3 linked regions of the Pelodiscus sinensis genome follow. The protein of the gene in region 3 purifies or fractionates together with the protein of the main gene of each other region. This does not show direct contact. Links are inferred from orthologs where the notes say so. Each region holds a gene or a part of one and is shown on either strand. Other genes may lie near its edges.

Region 1 (3,742 bases), on a different chromosome or scaffold from region 3:
GTTTTTGCCTGCTCCACCCCCATGGGGGGATGGTGGGAAGGCTGGAGCACCAGCGTGGGCTCCCCAATGCTGAGGGAAGGAGGGAGCCCCCGCATTCAGCCCCCAGGTTTTAGGTTTCCCATCCCTGGCTTAGCTTATGACAGCCCGAGAGAGTAAGCTGCTAGGAAACCTCAGATCACTGAGATTCCTTCAGGCTGACACAATGGTACCAGCAGGCACCCAAAGAACTGCATCCATCTTTCCTCCACCAGAGAAGAGACCTTGATACAGACTGGGGGAGACAAGTTTGCCACCATAGGACACCACACAGCTCTGCACCAACTGAACAAATGCAATACGGCCACTCATAGATAATACTCCAGAAAACAAACCTAGGAATTAAGGCTCCTGCCCAGAACCATCTTAAGAGGTCTTTTGTGTGAGGAGATGCACAATACTCACATGAGGTGTAATTCGATCATGGAGAAGTGACATCGGCAGCTTGCTTTGCTTCATGACCACTTTGTATGGATCCTTCATAACAGTCTCCATTTCCTCTTGGAATTTCTGCAGGGATGACTGCTTGATCACACGAGTATTTCCTGGTATGGAAAAATAAACTTTGCACCTTCACATGTTCCCACACTGGGCAGAAAGCACATGCAAACCTAGTGTTTTTAGACTTCTTTTAGGAGTCAGAGTTGGGAACCCATGCTCTGAAAACGAGTCCTCTTTAAGGCATCTCATGTTGGGCCCCCAAAAATCAACCACCACATTAGAATCTTTTGGCTAGTGGATTTTGTTCCCCAAGTAACAGGGTCATACTATCCACATCATCCTTAGAATACCTAAATTACTATTATTTAAACCTTGCTGAATTGTGAGATAGAAACACTCACCAAACCATTTAATATTTGGTTCCACTCTTGCCACTGTTCCTGGTGCCACTGTGGACTGGTACTGCAAAGGCCTAATCACTTTACCACGATTGTTTCTAAGAATGAAAAACGAGAGCTTGTGTAAACACATAAGCAGCAGAGCCACACAGCAAGGGTCATAGTTCACGCCTTCCAATACAAAATCCACGTGATGGTCTGTCTGAACGAAAGGCCCTAAGGAAACAGATGCTGTATACAAAAGGGCACTTTTGCCGGCAACAGTACTGTTTGGAATGGCAAAATAATCTTTATAACTGAGACAACAGAAGAATTTAGGTCAAGCAGCATGTTCTCACCCAGACTGGAATTTCACCAGGATGCCGGGGTTATTCTTGCAAATATGCCACAGGGCCCTGTGTGACCAGGATATCAGTTTGCCATCCATGTACTGACCAGGACCAAATCTGTTCAGTTTATGGAGAAAACATATGACCTCTGGCTTTAGGGCAGCCAGTTTTACTGCACAAGGCATATTTGGAGGGAGCCGTTATGTCTGGCAGCATGTGCCAGTGTCAATGGAACAAGCGCACACAAACATTTGCTCCCGCAATGAACCTTTCCTCCCACATAAAGTCTATCAATACCAGTGAACAGCTGGAAACAATAACTGCCTATGGCTCATAATCAGATTAGGAGATGTCTGGGTTACCCAGGCAGGAGACAAGAATAAGAATTATCAATGAGTCTTTATTGGCATGCCAAGATATACAAGTGCTGCCAAGCCCCATGAGGTTAGGGTGGTGAGTTGGGAACCATCTAAGAGACCTGCTGGAGAGTCACTCCTGCTCCACTGGTGCAGGAAAGCGGTGGTTCTTCAGAGCACAGGTCTGTCTGTGTACCTGAGGGTCTTGACTCAAGGCTGCCACCTCGAAAGTTTTTATTCTGGGTTCAAATGCACAGGCAGGATGGGGACGCTAGAATTCCCATTGTCCTGGCTCCACTGCAGTGGCCACCCACTGGAGATACTCAGCTGGCCCACCAGGACAGCTGCCAGCCTCACCTGCGCTCCTTCTGCCGGTACATGTTCAGCCGCCGGATGGTCGCCCTGTCCCGCACATTGTGGCCCCCAGCGCCCAGCACCCGATCTAGGGAAGCAGGGCAGAGTCAGTGGACAGTGAAAGGTCTCACTGGGGGGGAATGGGCCAGGGTGAGGGTCTGGGGGAGGAAAGAAGGTGGTAGCACTATGGGAGGGGGCGGATGAGAGTTGTGGCACTATTGGGGCGTGCAAGGGGTAGGGTTGCAGTGCTGTCGTGAAGGGAGGGGCGAGGACTGTGGGGGAGGGTTGTGGTGTGGGGGGAAGAAGGGGACGGGGTGGAGGCGACAGCTGGGGGGGGAGAAGAGAGGACAAGACACGGGCGGAGGGCACTGCCAGGGGGGAGGGCAGGAGACCGCCACAGGAGGCAGCACTGGAGGAGGGGGGGGAAAGGAGATGGGACGGGGGCGGAGGGCGCCGCCGGGGGGGGGGGGGAGAAGAGGGGACGGGACGGGGGCGGAGGGCGCCGCCGGGGGGGGGGAAGAGGGGACGGGACGGGGGCGGAGGGCGCCGCCGGGGGGGGGGAAGAGGGGACGGGACGGGGGCGGAGGGCGCCGCCGGGGGGGGGGAAGAGGGGACGGGACGGGGGCGGAGGGCGCCGCCGGGGGGGGGGAAGAGGGGACGGGACGGGGGCGGAGGGCGCCGCCGGGGGGGGGGAGGGGAGGAGACGGGACGGGGGCGGAGGGCGCCGCCGGGGGGGGGGAAGAGGGGACGGGACGGGGGCGCCGCCGGGGGGAGGCGGTACCGGGGTTGGTGCTGGCGCGGGACGGGTTGATGCTGCTCCGGCCCTTGTAGCGGGGCTTCACCATCCTGAGGCCGGTGTCTGGCCGGGGCGAGGGAGGGGCACGAGCGCGGTGTCTCGGACCGGGCGCTCTCGCGTCTCTCGCCGGCGGCCCCACGCGCGCGGGCAAAGCCGGAAGCGGCCCCACGAGCACTTCCGGCGGCGAGCGGGACGTGTTTCCGCCGGCTCTTAGGCCCAACCTCGGCTCCCGGTCACCTTGGCAGCCGCGGCCCCGAACAGCGCGGGGGGCGGGATACTGCAGCGTGACGTCACCGCGGGCCGTGGTCACACGGGCTCATGACATCACCCACTCCCCTGGCCTCACTGTGCCGTGGTGCCATCACCACCAGCCGTGGTGACACGGGCTCATGACATCACCCCGTGCTCTGCTTAGGTTGAGCCATCCCGTGACCTCACTGTGTGGCTAGGAACCTGGGGTCATGACATCACCATATGCCAGAATCACTGTGCCGTGACGTCATCACAAGCCTGCTGAATCCGGGTCATGACATCGTTATGCTATGACATCACCGGATGGTTGGGTGGCCTGTTAATGGTGGTTTTAAAGCTGCTGCCTGTTAATTTCTTGTGCTCGGGGAGGTGCTAACTAGCACTTCCCTGTTCACTTTCCGCACACCATTCATGGCTGTACCAACCTTGATCCTATTCTTCCCTGAGTCATGGCTTTTGCAGGGTGAACAGTCCCGCCACCAATGCAACTGTACTAGGGTTGCCAACCCTCCAGGATTGGCTGAGAGTCACCTGGAATCAGCAGCAATCTCCCGGCGACTCTTGAAAAAGTCATTTTAATAGGCTAGTTTAAGAAAATGACATTATCTCATGTTGGTTAAAAAAAATCCCGGGATAGCTTCAGTCAGCGTTGGCATCCTTAAGTTGTGCTGCTGTCATTCTTTGATGAAGAAGCTCTAAAAGGAGGGAGAGTTCTTCCATCAGCTTAGTTACTTCATCTCCACAAGAGACAGTAGGCATGTTGGCAGGAGACACTCTCAC
Region 2 (3,742 bases), on a different chromosome or scaffold from region 3:
TGGAGTATTTCTTTCATCTGTATCTCTCTGTGCTGTTCATTCTTTTCTAAGGAGTTTAGAGAAGGGGTGTGGATGGCCAACTGGTTAACTCATAAGCCTCACTCTTAATGAGTGAGGTTTACTGGTTCGGGATAACCCATGAAGACTGGGGCAGCCCCGTGCCTGCCTTGGGCAGGACCACTCTAGCCTGGGTGGAGTAAGCCCTGTTGGCAGTGGGAGTGGGAAAGGGACACTCCAGCCTGGACACATCTCTTTTCCTAGGTTAACTGGTTAAACATTAAGTTCAACCAGTTAACCAATTAAATGGGATTTTACATTCCTATTTCAGATCCTCTTCATTTTAACTCCTATGATTAGATCTTTGTTCTTTCCACCTATCCTATCCTGCCACTTTTTGTTCCTGACAGCTCTGATTTCCGAAGTGCCCCTTTTCCATCATCCTTTATATTGAAGGCTTGAGTATAGACTTCCCAGGGCTCTACCTCTGGGTAGTTATCTTTCTTGCATTCTTTAAAGGATTGAAGACAAGATGCTGAACAGCATGTGAATGTGCCTGTGGCAATAGGCTGAGTGAGTAGATGCCTTGTTATGGTGTGTAAATACATATCTTTGGGTATGTCTGCACTGCAACACTATTTTGAAATAACTAGCGCTATTCTGAAATAATTTAGTCTGTATCTACACAGTAGACAATTTTTTTGACATAGTGACAAAATACGGGCAAGCTGGAGGATGTCTTACTCTGACTCCTGTAACCCTCATTGTGCGATGACTAAGGGAAGTTGGAGGAAAAGTGCTCTTTTTCGAAATAAGTGCTGTGTAGATGATCCCAGTTATGAAGTAAGATATGCAATTGACATAACGTAACTCAATGTGCGTGTCTTATTTCGAGTTAAGCCCTGCAGTGTAGATGCCCCCTTAGAGAAGGCTTAAAACCGTTCCTCCAGGTAGGGCTTTATCAGTATAAAGCTGAGAGAGCAGTGGGGCAAACACCCTCAATGGTGGGGAGCAGGCACGTGATTCCTTTGGGGGGGGGGGAGTAAAATCACACCTTAACAAGAAGGACGGGGTAGAATAAGTTGTCCATACATGACAACATTCTGGGGTGATTTTTTTAAAGACTCCCCCCTCCTTGTAACTGCGACACAAGCGTCACAATGGAAGCTCCGCCCTCTACTGCCTTCCATCGTTTTATGGACCGCCCCTGGCCTGCGGGGCCTGCGGGGACTACAACTCCCAGCCTCCCCCGCTCCGAGCCCGCGGTGCACGCTGGGAGCTGTAGTCCCGCGGGCCGTCGCGCCGCCGGGCGGCAATCGCTGTGCGCGGCCGGCAGCTGGAGCACGTGGGCGGGGCGGGGCGGGGCGGCCGCGTGTTTCCCCGCCGCCCTGGGAGCTGGTCCCGGCCCGGGGGCGATGCCGCAGGACGGCGCGCGGCCCCCGGCCAAGAGACTGAAGCTGGCGGCCCCGCCCGGCAGGGCCATGCTGCGGCCGCCGCCCGCCGGGGAGACCCAGCGCAGGGGCCTGCCCATCTTCCAGGCGCGGGGGCAGCTGCTCAGCCAGCTCCGGAGCCTGGACAGCGCCGTCCTCATCGGTGAGCGACCCTTCCCTCTGCCCCCGCCTTCCCCCGCTGGAGGGCCCCGGAGCAGTGCTCCTGCTGTCTCTTTACATCTGTGTGCGGAATAAATCTTACCTGCACCGGGGCACGGGCGGATGTGCACCACCCGCAGTAACACGTGATGCCCTCTGTGTGCGCTTTGCTAATCAGCTGGGTGGCATTTGAAGCGCTCCTGCCTGGTCACCCAAGCACTTAGCTTTCTTACAAGGAACAACTGTCCTGGACACCCCCCCCCCCCACACACACACACACTGGAGGGCAGGGGAAGGGGGGAGTTTGCTACACCCCGTCAGCTGGGCTTTCCCACCTTTTTTTGTCTCCCAGGGCACACGCCATAGCCCATTCGCCTGACAGGAGGAGCTTTTCATTCCCCCTCCCCACTTGTGAGGTGCTCGTGGGATGACAGCCCTGTTTCCGCACTTGTAACGCCGACATGCAGAACCAAACCTGGGATTTCTGGAGCTTAGTGCATGAGTCTCGACATAGCTTGAGCTCAAAGGCAACTGGCTGTCGCTAAGTGTGTAGTGCGTACTCATTCTTTCTCTCCAAAAGTGGTCTAAGTGCCACTGCTTGGGACAGTGAACCACGCCCCCCGCCCAGCCCATACCGGGGCCACATGCCAGCTAGTCCTCTTCCTCCCAGGGCAGAGCTGTAGCTTATTCCTCCTCTGCCTGGGGTGGGGGAGGCTCATAGACAGGGCTTGAAAACGGCAGCGAATGCTGCTCGCCGGCCCCGCACTGCGCATGCGCAAGAGCTGCATTGCTTACATTGGTTACATATTGGTACTCTTCATAGTGCTGCTGGGAGCCGCAGAACCCTGGTGTCCCCACAGCAGCCCCAATTTTACGGTTAATAATTTAAAAAAAAAATTACATCCCTAGAGTTTAGTGCCACAGCTGTTGCTGAGACTGGGATAGTGATAGACTCCGGCTTGATCATATTTTAGATGTGTGTAGCAGAGAAGGACAGTGGTGAGGGCCCTAGCCTAGGACTTGAGAGTTCTGAATTCAATTTCCCAGCTCTGCCACAGACTTCCTATGTAACCTTGGGCTAATCACCTGCTTGCCCTGCCTCAGTATCCCCAACTGTAAAAATGGAGTAAATAGCACTGCTCAGCTTCATAGGAGTGTTTCAAGGATAATTACCCTGGAGATTGTGAGGTGCTCAGATACTGTCGTGGTGGAGTCATGTTAGATATAATCAAGTATTTGTAGTCTCTGTGGATTCCACAAGAAACTGACATGTCTCAATTAGGGATGTGGATGGATAACCGGTTACCCAGTGAGCTTCACCATTAATGGGTGACGCTTACTGGATTATGGTTAACGTTACCTGGGAGCAGCCCCCCACCTGTGGCCGAGTTGGCAGCCTTGCTGGGGTATGTGGAAGCAGCAGTGGGGTGGGAAAGGGCTGCTGGCTCCCAACCCATGGAGGCTTATGGCCTGGGAGATGGTAGCCTTGCATGGGGGAAGTAGGGAGATGGGAGAGGGAGGCTGCCAGCTCCCTTCTGCCCTGTGCGAGGCTGCCAACTCCCAGCCTGCTTGGGCAGGGAGGCAGAAGCCCAGCATGGGGTCCGAAGCAGCTGAGCTGGAATAGCCTGATCTGCAGCACAGAGACCACTTTGCCTGGCTGTGGTGGCCACTCCCCCCATAGAATTATAGAGCTGGAAGAGACCTCAGGAGGTCATCAAGTCCAGCCCCCCTGCTCAAGGCAGGACCAATCCCAACTAAATCAACCAGGGCTTTGTCAAGCCGGGACTTAAAAACCTCTAGGGATGGAGATTCCACCACCGCCCTAGGAAATCCATCCCAGTGCTTCCTCACCCTCCTAGGGAAATAGTTTTTCCTAATCTCCAACCTAGACCTCCCCCACTGTAACTTGAGACCATTGCTCCTTGTTCTGCCATCCATCCCTCACTACTGAGAACAGCCTCTCTCCATCCTCTTTGGAACCTCCCTTCAGGAAGTCGAAGGCTGCTATCAAATCCCCCCTCACTCTTCTTCCCCCACCCCTACCTTGTTTAATCAGTTAACTGGTTACACATAACATTTAACTGGTTAACCAATTAAGCAGAATTTTAAATCCCTAGTCCAAATAAAAATTTCCCTAAAGTATTCATAACCCCAAA
Region 3 (3,742 bases):
CCCTCTCTGACGACTGGAGATGGCAGCACCAGTCAGTTTTCAAACTAGAGAGGTAAATAGTGGTGCCCCCACAAGACCTGTCCTGGGATCAGGGCTGTTGCACAGGTTCAGAAACGGTCTAGAAAAGGGGGTAAAGGGCGAGGTGGCAAAGTCTGTAGCTGATACAAAACTACTCTGGATAGCTAAGTTCAAAGCAGACTGGGCAGAGCCTGGGCAACTGGCAACAAAACAAAATGGCAAATGAAGTTCAGGGCTGATAAATGCAGAGTCAAGCGCATTGGGAAACATGGTCCTGGCCATAGGCACCAAATGATGGGTCTACGCGATGGCGTAACCTCGTCCCGCTGCGCCTTCTGCGCGGCCACCGCTCAAGAACAACGGCTCTGAAAACAAGGACTCAGCGTGCAGCGGCAGGAACAGCGAACAGTGGTGGGAAGCGGCAGGCAAGGGACAGAAACGACACAAGATCTCACAGCCCCCGTAGAAATCCATGGTACGCCCATGCTTTGGCTACAGCCTGCAGCTACCCAGCCATGGAACCGGCAAAGAGACAGAGAAGGGCAGGAGAGATGGGGTTCCCGTAAGCTGAGCACTTGGGCTTCCGGCCAGGAGAGGTTAAATTCCACCCGGCTAATTAGCACAGTGCCCATGCGTGTGTGTCTGTTGGTGGTGCACATCCGCACATGCCTTGGTGCACAGAACAACATTTATTCCGCCTTGGGTGGGAAACATGAGACGGGCCATTGGGCAGGGAGGAGCAGGGCTGTGGCAAGCTCCCGTGCCAGGCGGACTCAGGAGGGGGCGCTACAGGCAGCCGCGTGCAGCCGGGCGGGCGCGCCGCCCTGCGGAACTCCCGGCCACGGCACGGGGGCGGGGCCACGCGGCCAGGGGGCGGGGCTGTGGGTGGCACGCGCAGAAGGCGCAGCGGGACGAGGTTACGCCATCGCGTCACGGCGCGGAGCCTGCGCAGACCCCGCCCCTTAAAGGGGAGGCGGTGAGCGCGGGGAGCGGGGGTTATGTGGCGGGTCCCGCGCAGGCGCCGACTCCTCCCCTTTAAGGCGCAGACACGTGTGCGGCCGCGGAGGCCCGGATGCTGCGAGAGGCCGGAGCCGGAGCAGGTAGCGGGGGGGGGCGCGAGCCGGGCGGGGGGGGCATGGCGAGCGGGGGGGGGCCGGGCGGTCTGGGGGAGCAGGGCGAGCGGGGGGGGGCCGGGCGGTCTGGGGGGGCGGGGGGAGCAGGGCGAGCGGGGGCGGGCTGGGGGGGCAGGGGGGGCGGGGGGAGCATGGCGAGCGGGGGGGGGCTGGGGGGGCGGGGGGAGCATGGCGAGCGGGGGGGGGCCGGGCGGTCTGGGGGAGCAGGGCGAGCGGGGGGGGGCCGGGCGGTCTGGGGGGGCGGAGGGAGCCGGGCGGTCTGGGGGGGCGGGGGGAGCAGGGCGAGCGGGGGGGGGCTGGGGGGGCGGGGGGAGCAGGGCGAGCGGGGGGGGGCCGGGCGGTCTGGGGGGCGGGGGGAGCAGGGCGAGCGGGGGGGGGGTCGGGCGGTCTGGGGGGGCGGGGGGAGCAGGGGGAGCGGGGGGGGGCCGGGCGGTCTGGGGGGGCGGGGGGAGCAGGGCGAGCGGGGGGGCCGGGCGGCCTGGGGGGCGGGGGGAGCAGGGCGAGCGGGGGGCAGGGTGAGCGGGGGGGGCGGGCGGCCTGGGGGGCGGGGGGAGCAGGGCGAGCGGGGGGGGGGCCGGGCGGCCTGGGGGGTGGGGGGAGCAGGGCGAGCGGGGGGGGGGGGCCGGGCGGTCTGGGGCGCGGGGGGAGCAGGGCGAGCGGGGGGGGGCCGGGCGGTCTGGGGGGGCGGGGGGAGCGGGGGGGGGCCGGGCGGTCTGGGGGGGCGGGGGGAGCAGGGCGAGCGGGGGGGCCGGGCGGCCTGGGGGGCGGGGGGAGCAGGGCGAGCGGGGGGCAGGGTGAGCGGGGGGGGCGGGCGGCCTGGGGGGCGGGGGGAGCAGGGCGAGGGGGGGGGCCGGGCGGCCTGGGGGGCGGGGGGAGCAGGGCGAGCGGGGGGGCGGGTGCGCTGCGGGGCGCAGGGGCGGTCCCTGCTGGGGGGGGCGGGTCTGTCTCCGCCCGGCCTGGTCTGACCCTCCTCGCCTCCGCCACAGCCCGTGTCCCCTCCCGGCCGGGAGCAGCGCGTCCCCCTGCCAGGGCAGTGGCCCCCCGGCTCCCCCGCTGCGCCGGGCCCGGGCGCTCCCGCCAGCGCAGATGCCCCCGCAGGGGCCGGCTGAGCCCCGGCTCTGGAGGTGAGAGCCCCGCGCCGCAGGGGGAGCCGGGGGCCGGGGCCCTGCGGTGCCGCCCAGGAGCTCGCTCCGCTGCCTGTGTCCGGCCGGGGGTGGGGGGGCTGCGCCCTGCGGCTCTTGCCCAGGTGGGGCCGGGTGGGGAGCCTGAGGCCCGGGGGGTCAGCCCCCCCAGATGGGGGTTCCTCCCCACGGCACTGGGGAGCCCGTGTTGGAGCTCCAGGCCCAGCCGCCCCCCATGGGGCTGACGCACAGACAGCGAGTCGCCTGGCCCCAGGGCCCTGGGGCGCGAGGGGCCTTTCTGCTTAAGGATGCTCCGTTGCCGTTACCTAGCTAGCCCCATGGGCCGTGGAGCCGCTGCAGCGGGACTGAGCCTGTCTGTAGCGGGGGCTGCTCCCCACTGGGACCCCTGCAGACAGGGGGTGCTTAGCAGCAGCCTCCCCATCCCCCCTGCCCTTATAGAAGCAGTGGGGGGCAGGTGGAGCCCTGGAGACAGTTCTGGGGAGAACTGGTTTTTAAGCCAGCTTCCCCCAGCACTGGTTCCTGCCCCCCCCCCCCCCCCGCTGTCTGTCCTAGAGGCAACGAGGGGGGGAAGCAAGGAGTCGACTAGTGTCCGACACCCCTAGTTCCCACTGCAGTGCTTGATTCAGAAATCTAGCCAGCGCCACGTGGGGGGAGCAGGGGCTGCTTCAGTCCCCCCTCGCGCTGTTTCCCCTCTGCCCCCCCAGAGGCAGTGCAGGGGGGACCGGCTTTTCAGCTGCCCCCCATCCCCAGCACTGACTCCTGCCTCTGCCCCCCCCCCCCCCCCCCCCCGCTTGCTGCCTCTCTCTGATGGAGGCAGCAAAGGGGGGGAAGTGACGGGTGGAGTTGGCATTTGCTAGCCAGCCAGTTGCTCGCGCCCCTATTTCTGCTCCTCAGCCGGGGGCCGTGTCTGTGAGGGGTGTTTCTTTTTGCTGCTTGCTCGTGTGGCCCCCGACCCTACCAGGGTCCCCAGCCCTGGGGTAGAGGGAGCTGCTGGTGGGTCTGGGAGCAGTGTGGAGCGTGGCCTGGTGCTCTTGGGACCCATAACTCCTTTCCTGGCTCTCCCTGCTTCGCGGAGCCATGGGCTGTCTCTGGGCAGGTCCCAGCGTAGCTGGCAGAGCGGAGACGCTCCGCTGGCCCCGTGGCAGCGGGAGGGCGGCGCTGACCGGCGTGCTGAGCTCTCTGGGGGGCTGGCAGGCCAGGGCTCCTGCAGACTGACCCTCCCCCCCCCCGTGTCTGACATGGCTCTGGGCGCTCTGTGGCAGTTCCCGCCTGGCCAGACTCCTCCTGCTCTCCCCTGCAGAGAGACGCGTCCCCGGGTAGCCAGCTGAGCCGCCCCCGCTGCGCCATGCCCATCGTGGACAAGCTGAAGGAGGCGCTCAAGCCAGGCCGGAAGGACTCTGCTGAGGATGGGGAGCTGGGCAAGCTGCTGGCGTCGTCTGCCAAGAAGAT

Evidence for each region. Proteins that work in one complex are often made in the same cells at the same time.
Region 1: the proteins of ubiquitin carboxyl-terminal hydrolase 36 (region 3) and GNL2 purify together in Homo sapiens (affinity purification with mass spectrometry; 3 studies listed by BioGRID and IntAct, with this or other methods). This does not show direct contact. The link is inferred for Pelodiscus sinensis from reciprocal best matches to the Homo sapiens genes USP36 and GNL2.
Region 2: the proteins of ubiquitin carboxyl-terminal hydrolase 36 (region 3) and DHX33 purify together in Homo sapiens (affinity purification with mass spectrometry; 5 studies listed by BioGRID and IntAct, counting the BioPlex papers as one, with this or other methods). This does not show direct contact. The link is inferred for Pelodiscus sinensis from reciprocal best matches to the Homo sapiens genes USP36 and DHX33.

The regions. Positions count from the first base shown.
Region 1 is NC_134735.1:9,880,158-9,883,899, forward strand, and holds the start of GNL2 (nucleolar GTP-binding protein 2), read right to left. Parts: upstream 2,912-3,742; 5' UTR 2,760-2,911; coding exon 2,696-2,759; intron 2,003-2,695; coding exon 1,918-2,002; intron 974-1,917; coding exon 879-973; intron 582-878; coding exon 442-581; intron 1-441. UniProt on the Homo sapiens protein: GTPase that associates with pre-60S ribosomal subunits in the nucleolus and is required for their nuclear export and maturation.
Region 2 is NC_134731.1:25,902,938-25,906,679, forward strand, and holds the start of DHX33 (ATP-dependent RNA helicase DHX33), read left to right. Parts: upstream 1-1,318; 5' UTR 1,319-1,412; coding exon 1,413-1,590; intron 1,591-3,742. UniProt on the Homo sapiens protein: Implicated in nucleolar organization, ribosome biogenesis, protein synthesis and cytoplasmic dsRNA sensing. Stimulates RNA polymerase I transcription of the 47S precursor rRNA.
Region 3 is NC_134730.1:29,157,170-29,160,911, forward strand, and holds the start of ubiquitin carboxyl-terminal hydrolase 36, read left to right. Parts: upstream 1-998; 5' UTR 999-1,118; intron 1,119-2,137; 5' UTR 2,138-2,275; intron 2,276-3,593; 5' UTR 3,594-3,638; coding exon 3,639-3,742. UniProt on the Homo sapiens protein: Deubiquitinase essential for the regulation of nucleolar structure and function. Required for cell and organism viability.